3 linked regions of the Xenopus tropicalis genome follow. The protein of the gene in region 2 purifies or fractionates together with the protein of the main gene of each other region. This does not show direct contact. Links are inferred from orthologs where the notes say so. Each region holds a gene or a part of one and is shown on either strand. Other genes may lie near its edges. The genes, in order: park7, prdx5 and prdx2.

Region 1 (4,289 bases), on a different chromosome or scaffold from region 2:
CACAACTGTATTTTTTGGTGTTGCAAAAAAATGTAATATTCCCAGAAGTCCACTGAAAGATGTTCCTGAAAGATCTTCTGCATTCTCTGAAAGTAATATCTAAGATCATAAATGAAGAGGCTTTACATCTAGCAGGTGGGTGAGTTTTTAAAGTGTCATGTACTGAAATAGACTTTGACCTTCAAACTGTCAGTTAAGCAGCCAAGCAGGGCTGAGCTGGACTGGCACTAAAAAGCAGCTCTGGCCGGCAAAGCACCCAGCCCATGCCTGCCTGTGCTGAAAGTGAGATTATAGCGGTAAAGAATTGCTGCTAGAATGAACATATGTATTCCACTAGCTATATTAGCTAGAATTATTCTTCATACATGCAAATAAAAACTAACAAGCTACAAGCATTTGATCAACACACTACACACTCTTATATCACAAGATCCACACATGATTAGACACAAAAATCCCAATGGCCTATTTATACAGAGAATCCGGTTACCCCAAATCATATTGCAAGTGGATAATGTATGTGCCTTTCACAGTCAGAAATGTTATAGAAAAAAAAAAAGTTAATTTTAGTTTTTTTAGGCAAAATGAAGGCATGTGGTTATCCTTCACGAGAGAAAACACAGTACAGTAAGCCAAAGTAGGAGTGTTTGCCCAACACACCTATGAATAATGAACGTATACCTTACCTGTGTTCGAGCCTCCTCCAGACTAGTGTCAGGGCACAGCACCACATCTCTGCTGCACAGAACCGGATCCTTTCCACTTAGACCTGCAATCGTTACCTTTATCTGGTAAATGGAAAAATGGCAACTGTAAATAAACTTTTCTTAACAAAACATGCAACATTCGACCTGCTCTCATGAATTGCATGCAACTGTGTGCATTGACACAAGGGATCCATGGGATTAAGAGAGCCTTGACCTGCCAGTAGCTCCAGGTTTCCATTAGTGGTTTGTGCCCACAGATTCAATTGACTTACACCAAGTATATCAGACAGGAAAGCCACTATTGATGGCATGTGAATTTGAAGACCTGGAAGTGATGCCAACTGTACATAGTAACTTAGGTGCAGTTTACCAAAACACATACTATTTTCCATCAATATTTAGTATATAAGTTGAATCAGACACTATTACGAAGTGTTGTTCTGATAAAAAGACTTCCTCAGGGGCACAAAGGAAGTCTGTACACTATAGGCTTATATGGACTTTGCTGTTGAGATGTTGATACTGCTGCTATTTATTTACGTGCAATATATTTAAATTAAAAAATTATACCATTGATATTATCCTATGGGAGCACGCTCCTCTCTTTTTCTTTTGATACTATTATGTGCCCACAATAATACAGGAATTCTGAATATTGTGGAGTCTGTACACAAATGCAGTAAATGGCACTGATCTCTAAATTGTCAACACATCAAAAAATGTGAAGAATGCCTACTCTACAGCTCACCTTACAGCCAATCAGCTGCAATGTTAATAAACAACACACTGCAATTTGTGTCTAAAATTTGCCCAATGGACTGACTTCTTGAGCATATGATTGCTGGAGGCAATGTCCACGAGCTTGTAGTTATTTTAGAAGGTAGTGCTGCCAGGGTTTCTGCCATTTGCATCCCTTTGTGCCCGGGTCATAGTAAATTACCCCTTTTTGAAAGTTGAAAGTTTTTCTGGACAGGGTCTTCTTTAAGTATTGTATAGGTTGTTGGTTGTAATTGTATATTTTCTTGTTTATTTAATGGATATACCCATTTGTTGTACAACACTGTGGAATATGTTGGTATTTTATTAATAGGTGATAATAAAAACACCACAGGTCACAAAGTTACATTACACACAAGTTGCACAGTGGTTTGTTACCACTAGAGGTCTCTGTAATCATTCCTTTTTACCTAAACTGCAGTTACCAGTACCCAAAGGGCAGGTCATTGCAACAGAAGAGATATATTGCCCTCCTCTGGATCAACTAACAGACAGGATTTAGGCATAAAAGGATGAACTTGATGGATGTGTGTCTTTTTTTCAACCTATGTTACTCTGTACATATATTCTCTTATTTTGCATTCCATGAAAGGTCTAGATTTTAAATCTTTACACTTAGTGTTAAATCACATACAGACATTCCAGGTAACAGGGTAATGTTAACAAACCTTTCAGAGAAAGGGTAACTGATCCTGCTTTGTTTTGTGGGAGAGACTCTGGTCTCTATATCTTCTATATTGCGTGCCAGCAGGTTAATCACATACAGTGGCAGGAGAAGCTGGCAGGACAAGTGCAGTCATTAAATCCAGACAAACTAAGTATCTTAAAGCCCATGTATGGGGCCAAAAGGAAGGCATGCCCACTGACTGAGACCCAGCACTGACTGCCAAGGTGCCTCCCAGTAGGACAGCACAGGTCCCAATTATGAGCTGATTTTGGCACTGGGGCCAAGCAATCCCTGCAGCAGATTTCGCCTAACAACTGAGTGGGCAAATGAGGCAAAGAATCAAACGTGCTTAATTCCCAGCTCAGGCCACAGACAGCAAGGGCTGGATTTCTCCAGGCAGACATAGGCAGTGTGACTGTTCAGCAGCAGTGCTTAGCCACTGATAGAGGGACCTGTTGCACAGTCACTAACTAATGGCAACCTGCGGCGGCTACTGAACTAGAACTTCCTGATGTTAGAAATCCGTATCCAGCCAATAGTTACAGTGCCAGCGCACCACACCTTCAGAGCTCAGTGTAACCACCCCTCCATGCCCAGCAAGCTGCACAGCCATACGGTCTCGCAAGCAGCTAGCAGCCATGTATTACTCACTCCTGCCCTTCTCATCACATCAGCGGGAATGACTGTCTCCATCTCCTCGGCCCCCTTGGCCAAAATCAATAGAGCCCTCTTGCCAGCCATACTCTCTTTCTCCGCTAGCTCACAAACTCCGCCTCCAGGGCCAGAGCGCACCAATATCTCACGTACAGCCCCACCCCCTGCATCAACTGACGGAAAGCCTCTTGTGTCAAACTCTGCTTAATTCAATTAAATGCGCAACGGGGGCTCTAACTGTACATTGTATTTTTTCCGGCTTCATAGCTTGAACTTTCACATTGCGGTTACAGTGGTGCTCGACAGGTTTCAAGCTTTGCTGGAATGCTGGGAGTCGTAGTCCCGACACACCATTTCCTGCCTCAGCGCGTCCCACAGGCACAGCTCGGTCACATGACCCATGGCGTCACCTTCTGTCTGTTCTGTGAGTGTGAGAGAAAGGGAATAATAGCGGCGACTGCAGGCGCATCTTGTTCCTGACCCAGAAGGCAATTCCATGCTATTGTGCGCTATCTGTGGGAGTAGGCTGAGAGAGAGACTGGCTATCTGACGGTAGGGACCCGGCCTCACTCACCCACGTTTAACGCACACATTCCCGGTACTAATATCATTCCTGTCATTGTGTGAGTAGCTTTATAATATGAGAGGCGCTTGTACCCACTCACACACCCACTTAGCTCAAGCCCTGCCGCCATCTGGGCCCCCAGTCCTAATGGGATCTCTAAGGGAAAGACATGTTGATACTACATACATTGTATTAACATGAGCCTTTGACACCTTAGGGAGGTTGGAGAGTTTTAGTTTAACAAGTTTTCCACTCAGTATTGCATTAAGGGACCTAGCTTCTCTGCATTCTCAGGGGCCCTTTGGTCTGTAAAGTCTATGCAGACCCATTGGGACTGGGCCCACATCACTTTATTGGTAAAGTCTTTGATTGACAGGATAGGCATTCAGGCAATAGTCCAGACTCCCCAACTGAGTTTGGGCATGTTTACTCTGCATGAGAAAATTGAGTTTGCTTGACAAGTGCTACTATGGTAAAATAAGTTGCTGTGTAGCCATGGGAGCAACAATCCAAGTTCTCATGGGGCTATAGGACACACCTTTACATAGCAGATAACTGATAAGCTGTATATGATACAGTGGGCATTCATGGCTCTCTATAGGGCTATAGAATGAACCTTATAATAGAACGCGCTGGATGAACTCATACAAACGTTAGGTGTACAGAATACATTTTTATGTAATTTAAACAGAAGTTTTGCTTTTAGGATAATCTAGGAAAGCAAATCTGTGCTTTTCGTAATTGTATCACAATACATTACTGATCGACAAGTGAACAGGTGAGCAAGAAACCAATGGGTTAACAGTGCTAATTGTAAAAGAGGCACCATTGTTTTAGGTACTGTATTAATAGATGTTTTCAGGTCAGGCTGCTCTGTAGCAAAGATGGGAGTGCCTTTTTACTTTGTATTTCTATTGGC
Region 2 (4,378 bases):
TAACTTACAGACACAAGTAGGCAAATATAAGTGCTGTAGGTCACAGTGGGTGACACTACAATATAAGTGCCATTTCCCTGATCATGCTTCTCTTCCTTTACCTTGGAGCAGCCAGGAGTGAACGCCCCCGGGACACCAAACAGCACCCCCTTCTTGTTAGCAAACACATCTCTGATGCTGACCTTGTTCCCAGGCCCCCCCTCATACACCGTCACATTAGGAAGTTGATCTCCAACCTGCAAGTATTGAATAAAAAAAAAACCCCAATGAAATATTAATTGTCTATAACAAGGAAGTGTACAAAGTTGTCTCAGGGATTTGCCCACAACCGAAATCCATTGTGTAAGTAATTTCCTTTACACGACACTGGAATTTATTAAGGTGTCTCTTCCTCATTGCGACATGTATAAGATTACAGTTACCAGCTTTGGGTAACAATTAGCAGTATCAGGTTGCCACGGCTTATTTTTCTTTCAGTGTATATGCAATTACAGTAGTCCTTCTGTGACAATACACTTATACAAATGGCAAGCAGCTTTAACAGGATGGATCACTGCTCCTAAATAATGAATGTATTCAGAGTAATGGATATTTCATGCTAATATCATAATACTACACATATTAATCTGAAAATTATAAGAAACAACTATATGTTCCTAGCCTTGGGCACATATATGTCCCCTGCAAATAAAGTATATATTGAATATAGACCAACATCACACTAGCCTATGTCTCGGCAGCAAACAGGTGTTCAGGGAAGTCTGACAGGTGGGTGCTGTTACCTGGCACCATGCAGGGAGAGCAAAGAGGGAAGCCTGTGAGCATAAGAATAGTGGATATAAGAATAATGGATTTGCAGCAGGGTCAGAGTGTTGTGTGTAAGGTGGGCTGATGTACTGATGAAGCAATACAAAAATTAGGAAAGTATTGAATACCAGATCTGATCATTTTCAGATTTAGAAGACTCCTTATTCCTGGCCGAACTGAATCCAAACCCTAAACATCACATGACTTTAGACAATGTGACAGATGAAGGTTGATGATTATTTTTTGAATGCTGTGTTTTTTTCCAAATGTTGTTAATTACATATGCAAATTAGTGTTTGGCTTTGGTTCGGTATTTGGACAAATCTGGTGTGGTAGAGTCCCACAAACTGACATGGGTGTATTAGTAGGGTGTTTCACTTATTAACCACCTAAAGCAGATTTTGGGGGAAGGGTGAATCCTCAGCGCATACCCAACAATAAAAGAACATTCTAGGCAACTTTCCAATACACAGTCATTACACATTTTCAGTTGTTTAAGAGTTATGTGTAAATGTCACTGCTACTGAAAAAACTAAAAGTTTTTTTTTATCCCTTTCTGTTTTGATTCTCTGCAAACAATATATTTGAAATCAGTTCTCTGGGTATATTATCCAGCCTCTGCTCTGTTGCTTTAGAAGGTACCAATAACTTTGAAGCATTCATTGTTATATGTATATTGGAACATTGCTTATAACCGTGGTCCCCAACCCGTGGCTCAGGAGAAACATGTTGCTCCCCAACCCTTAGATGTTGCTCCCAGTGGCCTCATAGCAGCTGCTTATATTTGAATTTCTGGCTTAAGGTGGCCATACACGCACCGATATTATCGTACGAAACCTCGTTTCGTACGATAATCGGTGCGTGTATGGTATGTCGGCGAGTCGACCGATATCGCAGGAACCTGCTGATCGGACCAGTTGGAAAATTTTGATCGGGCGCCATAGAAGGCGCCTGACCAAAATTCTCCCTTCAGATCTGAATCGGCATAAGGAGGTAGAAATCCTATTTTTTCTACCTCCTTACCTGCCGATTCAGCCCTGAATGGTGTGTGGCGGATCTTACGATGTTTCGTGCGACCGATGGTCGTACGAAACATCGTCAGATCGCCACGTGTATGGCCACCTTTAGAGGCAAGTTCTGGTTGCATAAAAACAAAGCTTTCTGCCAGTCCACATAGTGGCTACCGAATAGCCAATCATAGTGCTTATTTGGTACCCCCAGGTAAATTTTTCATGCTTGTGTTGCACCCCAACTCAGGTGAAAAAGGTCAGGGACCCCCAGCTTGGAATCACATTTCCTTTCACTATGCAAAAAATGAATAAACATTTGGGTGGAGTTTCCCCTTAATTTTGCTTGGAATTTGGATTATCTTATTGCAGGCCCGGACTGGCAATCTGTAGGCTCTGCTTAAAATGCCATAGACACTCACTTGCTACTGGGCCTCTGTGTACTTGATAAGGCAGAGCCTGCAGTATTTAGAATCTTAGCCCAGAGCTGCGATACTGTAACCAGACTAAAATAATCATTGCCAGGAGTAATTCCCCTGTTGCAATATACAAAGACGTGGAAACCCACTGGGAATTCTGGTGACAGCAGTTTGGCTTTTCAGCATGTTGTATGTATGTGTGTGTATATATATATATATATATATATATCTTAAACTCCAGTCCTTCATTATTTTATACAACAAGTGCACTGCAGAGCTTACTATCTATTAGTTGTACCTGGGCAAGCAGATAACATACCCAAGAACAGTAAGGAGTGAAAGCAGGAGCCACAGCATGCCAGGGAAGGAGGGCACACACGTTTATATAATCTAACTCGTATTTGACAGGCTGCCCAGTAGTATGAGATGTGGAATCCAGCCAATACCCACACAGAGAAATCTCTGCCGCACACAGGACATTGCTGCCGGTTACACTGTGCCAGCGCACATACCTGCCCACTACAAGCCGCTACTCGCTACATACGCACCTTTACAGACATGGCTCTTGTTCTGCTCACGAAACTTCCAACCGCTCGCAGAGGTGACAGGAGGAGGAATGAGACGGGGAGCCGAAGAGCCATGACAACCAAAGTGGGCTGAGCCGATGGGACACGGCAATTCCGCCCCTATAGGGCAGGCAAGGACTTTTTAAAAATTCCTAGCGCGCATGCGCGCACGGACAAAGCCCTTAACCTTTAAGGTTTGACGACGCATGCGCGGGGGGTTTGTTTCGCGGCAGAACGTAGCACTTTTTCTATTCACTATTTCTTTAATGTTAGTAGTGCTGCAATTGGGGTGTAATGCCGTCCCGCCTGTTCTGTTCTTCCCCCAAATTGCATTCCGCCAGGCAGTATGGCAGGTTTGTGCATAGGGAGCTTTGTTGTTGCCGCCCGACTTTCTCTTGCGGCTCTCTGGCTGCTCGTTCTGCCTCCGTGTGTTTCAAATGTGTCAGCAGCCAGCAGCACTTTACTAGATAATCCTACTAATCGGCACAGAAATACCCGCTTCATGTAGATCCTTGTTCTCAGTGCTGAAAAAGAAGGAGAAGCGAGAGGCACACTGATATCCCCCCATAACCCACAGAAAAACAGAGGCACAGTAATACACACCCACAGAAAATGAGAAGCACAGTGATACCCCCCCAGCCAATCACAGGCACAGTGATCCCCCCACCCCATAGGCCAAAAGAAAATCCAAGGCACAGTGATACCCCCCCCCCCCCCAGAAAATCCGAGGCTAAATGATCCCCCCCACCCCATAGACCAGTGCTGTCCAACTGGCGGCCCGCAACCCCCCTCTGTGCGGCCCCCCACCTGTCTGGCTGCTTTGATGGCTTACTCTTGTGTAAGCTTTAAATGGTATCAGTACTGAGATTAACTGCCCCCCCTGCATGGTTCTCACCTCTGATTCAGGCTGTAATCCCTCTGTATTGTTTAAATATGTAATCCCCTGTGTTGTTCACACCTTTTAATCTCTGCATTGTTCACCCCCTGTAGTGTTCACACCTCAGGCTCAGGCTGTAATCACCCATATTGTTCCCCTGTTCACACCTCAGGAGGAGTAGAAACCCACAAATAATCCCTGCACACTACAAAAAGAACATATACTGAGGTGGTACTGCAATTAAAAAGTTTTTTAATATATAGTTATTGTGCAGACTGTAGGAGCACTGCCAGCATTGTGTCACTGTATGCTGCCTGTGTGTGCCATACACACAGGCAGCATAGGGCAAGCAGAGTATGGCACACAGGCAGGGTAGGGAAGGCAGAGTATGGCACACACAGGAAGAGTAGGGCAGGCAGAGTATGGCACACACAGGCAGGGTAGGGAAGGCAGAGTATGGCACACACAGGAAGAGTAGGGCAGGCAGAGTATGGCACACACAGGCAGGGTAGGGAAGGCAGAGTATGGCACACACAGGAAGAGTAGGGCAGGCAGAGTATGGCACACACAGGCCAAGTTTGGCACAAACCAGCCAAGAATGGCACACACAGTGAAAGTATGGCACACGCAGGCAGGATAGGGAAGGCAGAGTATGGCACACACAGGCAGAGTAGGGAAGGCAGAGTATGGCACACACAGGCA
Region 3 (2,539 bases), on a different chromosome or scaffold from region 2:
GTGCAGTATGAGGGCATTATAGTGCGATTTATTCAGGCCCGGACTGGCAATCTGTGGGTTCAGGCAAATGCCAGAGGGGCTGCTGTAAGGTGCCATAGTCACTCACCATTTATTGGGCCTATGGGGGGGGCTGTTTGGGCCTCTGTGTACTGAAAATCAGGCCCGGACTGGCAATCTGTGGGTTCAGGCAAATGCCAGAGGGGCTGCTGTAAGGTGCCATAGACACTCACTATTTATTGGGCCTATGGGGGGGGGGGCTGTTTGGGCCTCTGTGTACTGAAAATCAGGCCCGGACTGGCAATCTGTGGGTTCAGGCAAATGCCAGAGGGGCTGCTGTAAGGAGCCATAGACACTCACTATTTATTGGGCCTTTGGGGGGGCTGTTTGGGCCTCTGTGTACTTGGAATGCCAGGGCCTATTTTGAAGTCCAGATGCAGGCCTGGGGGAAGGGGGGTAATATTTAAGTGATTAGAAAGACTAATATCAAATTGCAACTTCATAGTAATCTATGGGAAACATGCCTGAAGCAGCCCTGGCGGGGGGGGGGGGGGGTCTCAGGAAGACCTCTCCTTATGGGTACCACTTACAAGATGCAACCACTGTGGTTTCCTGCCTAATTACAGTTAAAGGGGAACTCCACCCAAACACAACTTGAGCTTTTCGAAACTTAAGCCATTCTAAGTAACTCTGCAATATACATCAATTAAAAATATGCAGCCTTCATGATTTGTAATGTAATAGGGTTTGGAACAGTTCCCTAAGCCCCGCCCCCTGTTGATCTGACTGACTGCTTTGAGACTCAAATTAAATGTAAAAGTCGCCTGTCTGCAGCCAGTATTCCTTCCAATCCCACAATCCCCTGCATGTGATGTCAATAAGGAAAGATCACAGTGCAGTGCATTGTGGGTTATGTAGTTCCTGCATGCTGTAAGCTGCTGAGAAGTTATTACAATTTGTAACATTAATGTTTTAGTCCCTCCTCCCCTGCCAGGATTTCAAATGATGTAGAAAGAACCATTTTGCAGCTGGATTTCAGCATATAAAAATGGTATTGATTCATACTTTCTGAAGGAACAGATTACAGCAATAGGTATATTAGGGGTTTCTGTATTGTGTGGGGCTCTAACAAATTTTGGTTCAGAAGTCAGAGTTCCCCTTTAAGGCCATTAGCCTAACTTGGATGCTGGGGGAAGCATGAATATGGCTGAATAGTGCAGCTAAAGGTCTGTCACTGATAAGTCAGTAAAATGAGAGAAGCAACGGAACACTGCACCCTCCACCCAGGAGATAAGCCGGGAGTGGCAGCACTTACCACGCGAGGTGGGTGAACTGGGAATCGACGGAGACGGCAATCAGCTGGCAGTTGATCTTACTGAAGTCTCCAGCATGGTCACTGAAGGCAATGATCTCCGTGGGGCAGACAAAGGTAAAGTCCAATGGGTAAAAAAACAAAACCACGTATTTACCTGCCAAGGGGAAAAAAGTTGCCAATAATGATTGGGCTACACACTGCCACCTCCAACAGCCTGCTTGTGACTGGGAGCAGATCTGTGCAACTTTAAATAGGCTTTGAACACATGCAGTAGTACAGCGCACACCTATTAATCACTTTCCAGCAATAAACACATTGGGGGTGCAGCAGTGCTCCATGCACCTTACCTAAATAGTCTGACAACTGGATGTCTTTAAACTCCCCATTGACCACAGCAGTGGCCTTAAAAGCTGGGGCCGGCTGGCCAATGTGAGTCTTCACTGCTGTAAGAAAAAAAAAAAAAAAAAGTTCAACCACAGCCAAACATTGCTGGGCAACATTTCATTTTCTCCATTATTTAGGTGAAGTTCCCCTTTAAAACCCTGGGAAGCCGTGTTAACCTCATACACCCTAATAGGGGATACGTTACAGCATTGTGCAATGTCCAAAAATCAGAAGCATCTCTAATTAAAAAGATGTGGCACATGGCAACAACAGCAGCAACACAGCCCCTGACCCACCATCTGATACATACAATGGGCAGTGTTATTGCCAATAGCCTTGAGCAGAAGAGACTCAAATGTATCTTATAGCTGGCAAATAACCTGCCTATGTGGCTAATAGGGCAGAAAGAGGAAAGGCATTAGCCTGGGAAGCAGATACAGGTATGGGATCCCTTATCCGGAAACCAGTTATCCAGAAAGCCTGTCTCCCATAGACTCCATTTTCATCAAATTATTCAGATTTTTAAAATTAATTTATTTTTTCTCTGTAATAATAAAACAGTACCTGTACTTGATCCCAACTAAGATATAATTACCCCTTATTGGGGGCAGAACAGCCCTATTGGGTTTATTTAATGGTTAAATGATTCCCTTTTCTCTGTAATAATAAAACAGTACCTGTACTTGATCCCAACTAAGATATAATTACCCCTTATTGGGGGCAGAACAGCCCTATTGGGTTTATTTAATGGTTAAATGATTCCCTTTTCTCTGTAATAATAAAACAGTACCTGTACTTGATCCCAACTAAGATATAATTACCCCTTATTGGGGGCAGAACAGC

What was found.
Region 1: the proteins of prdx5 (region 2) and park7 fractionate together in Homo sapiens (co-fractionation; 3 studies listed by BioGRID). This does not show direct contact. The link is inferred for Xenopus tropicalis from reciprocal best matches to the Homo sapiens genes PRDX5 and PARK7.
Region 3: the proteins of prdx5 (region 2) and prdx2 fractionate together in Homo sapiens (co-fractionation; 3 studies listed by BioGRID). This does not show direct contact. The link is inferred for Xenopus tropicalis from reciprocal best matches to the Homo sapiens genes PRDX5 and PRDX2.

Annotation. Positions count from the first base shown.
Region 1 is NC_030683.2:96,565,099-96,569,387, forward strand, and holds the start of park7 (protein deglycase DJ-1), read right to left. Parts: upstream 2,903-4,289; 5' UTR 2,893-2,902; coding exon 2,803-2,892; intron 789-2,802; coding exon 687-788; intron 1-686. UniProt on the Homo sapiens protein: Multifunctional protein with controversial molecular function which plays an important role in cell protection against oxidative stress and cell death acting as oxidative stress sensor and redox-sensitive chaperone and protease.
Region 2 is NC_030680.2:34,742,899-34,747,276, forward strand, and holds the start of prdx5 (peroxiredoxin-5, mitochondrial), read right to left. Parts: upstream 2,869-4,378; 5' UTR 2,794-2,868; coding exon 2,782-2,793; intron 237-2,781; coding exon 102-236; intron 1-101. UniProt on the Homo sapiens protein: Thiol-specific peroxidase that catalyzes the reduction of hydrogen peroxide and organic hydroperoxides to water and alcohols, respectively.
Region 3 is NC_030679.2:140,338,074-140,340,612, reverse strand, and holds part of prdx2 (peroxiredoxin-2), read right to left. Parts: intron 1,756-2,539; coding exon 1,660-1,755; intron 1,467-1,659; coding exon 1,313-1,466; intron 1-1,312.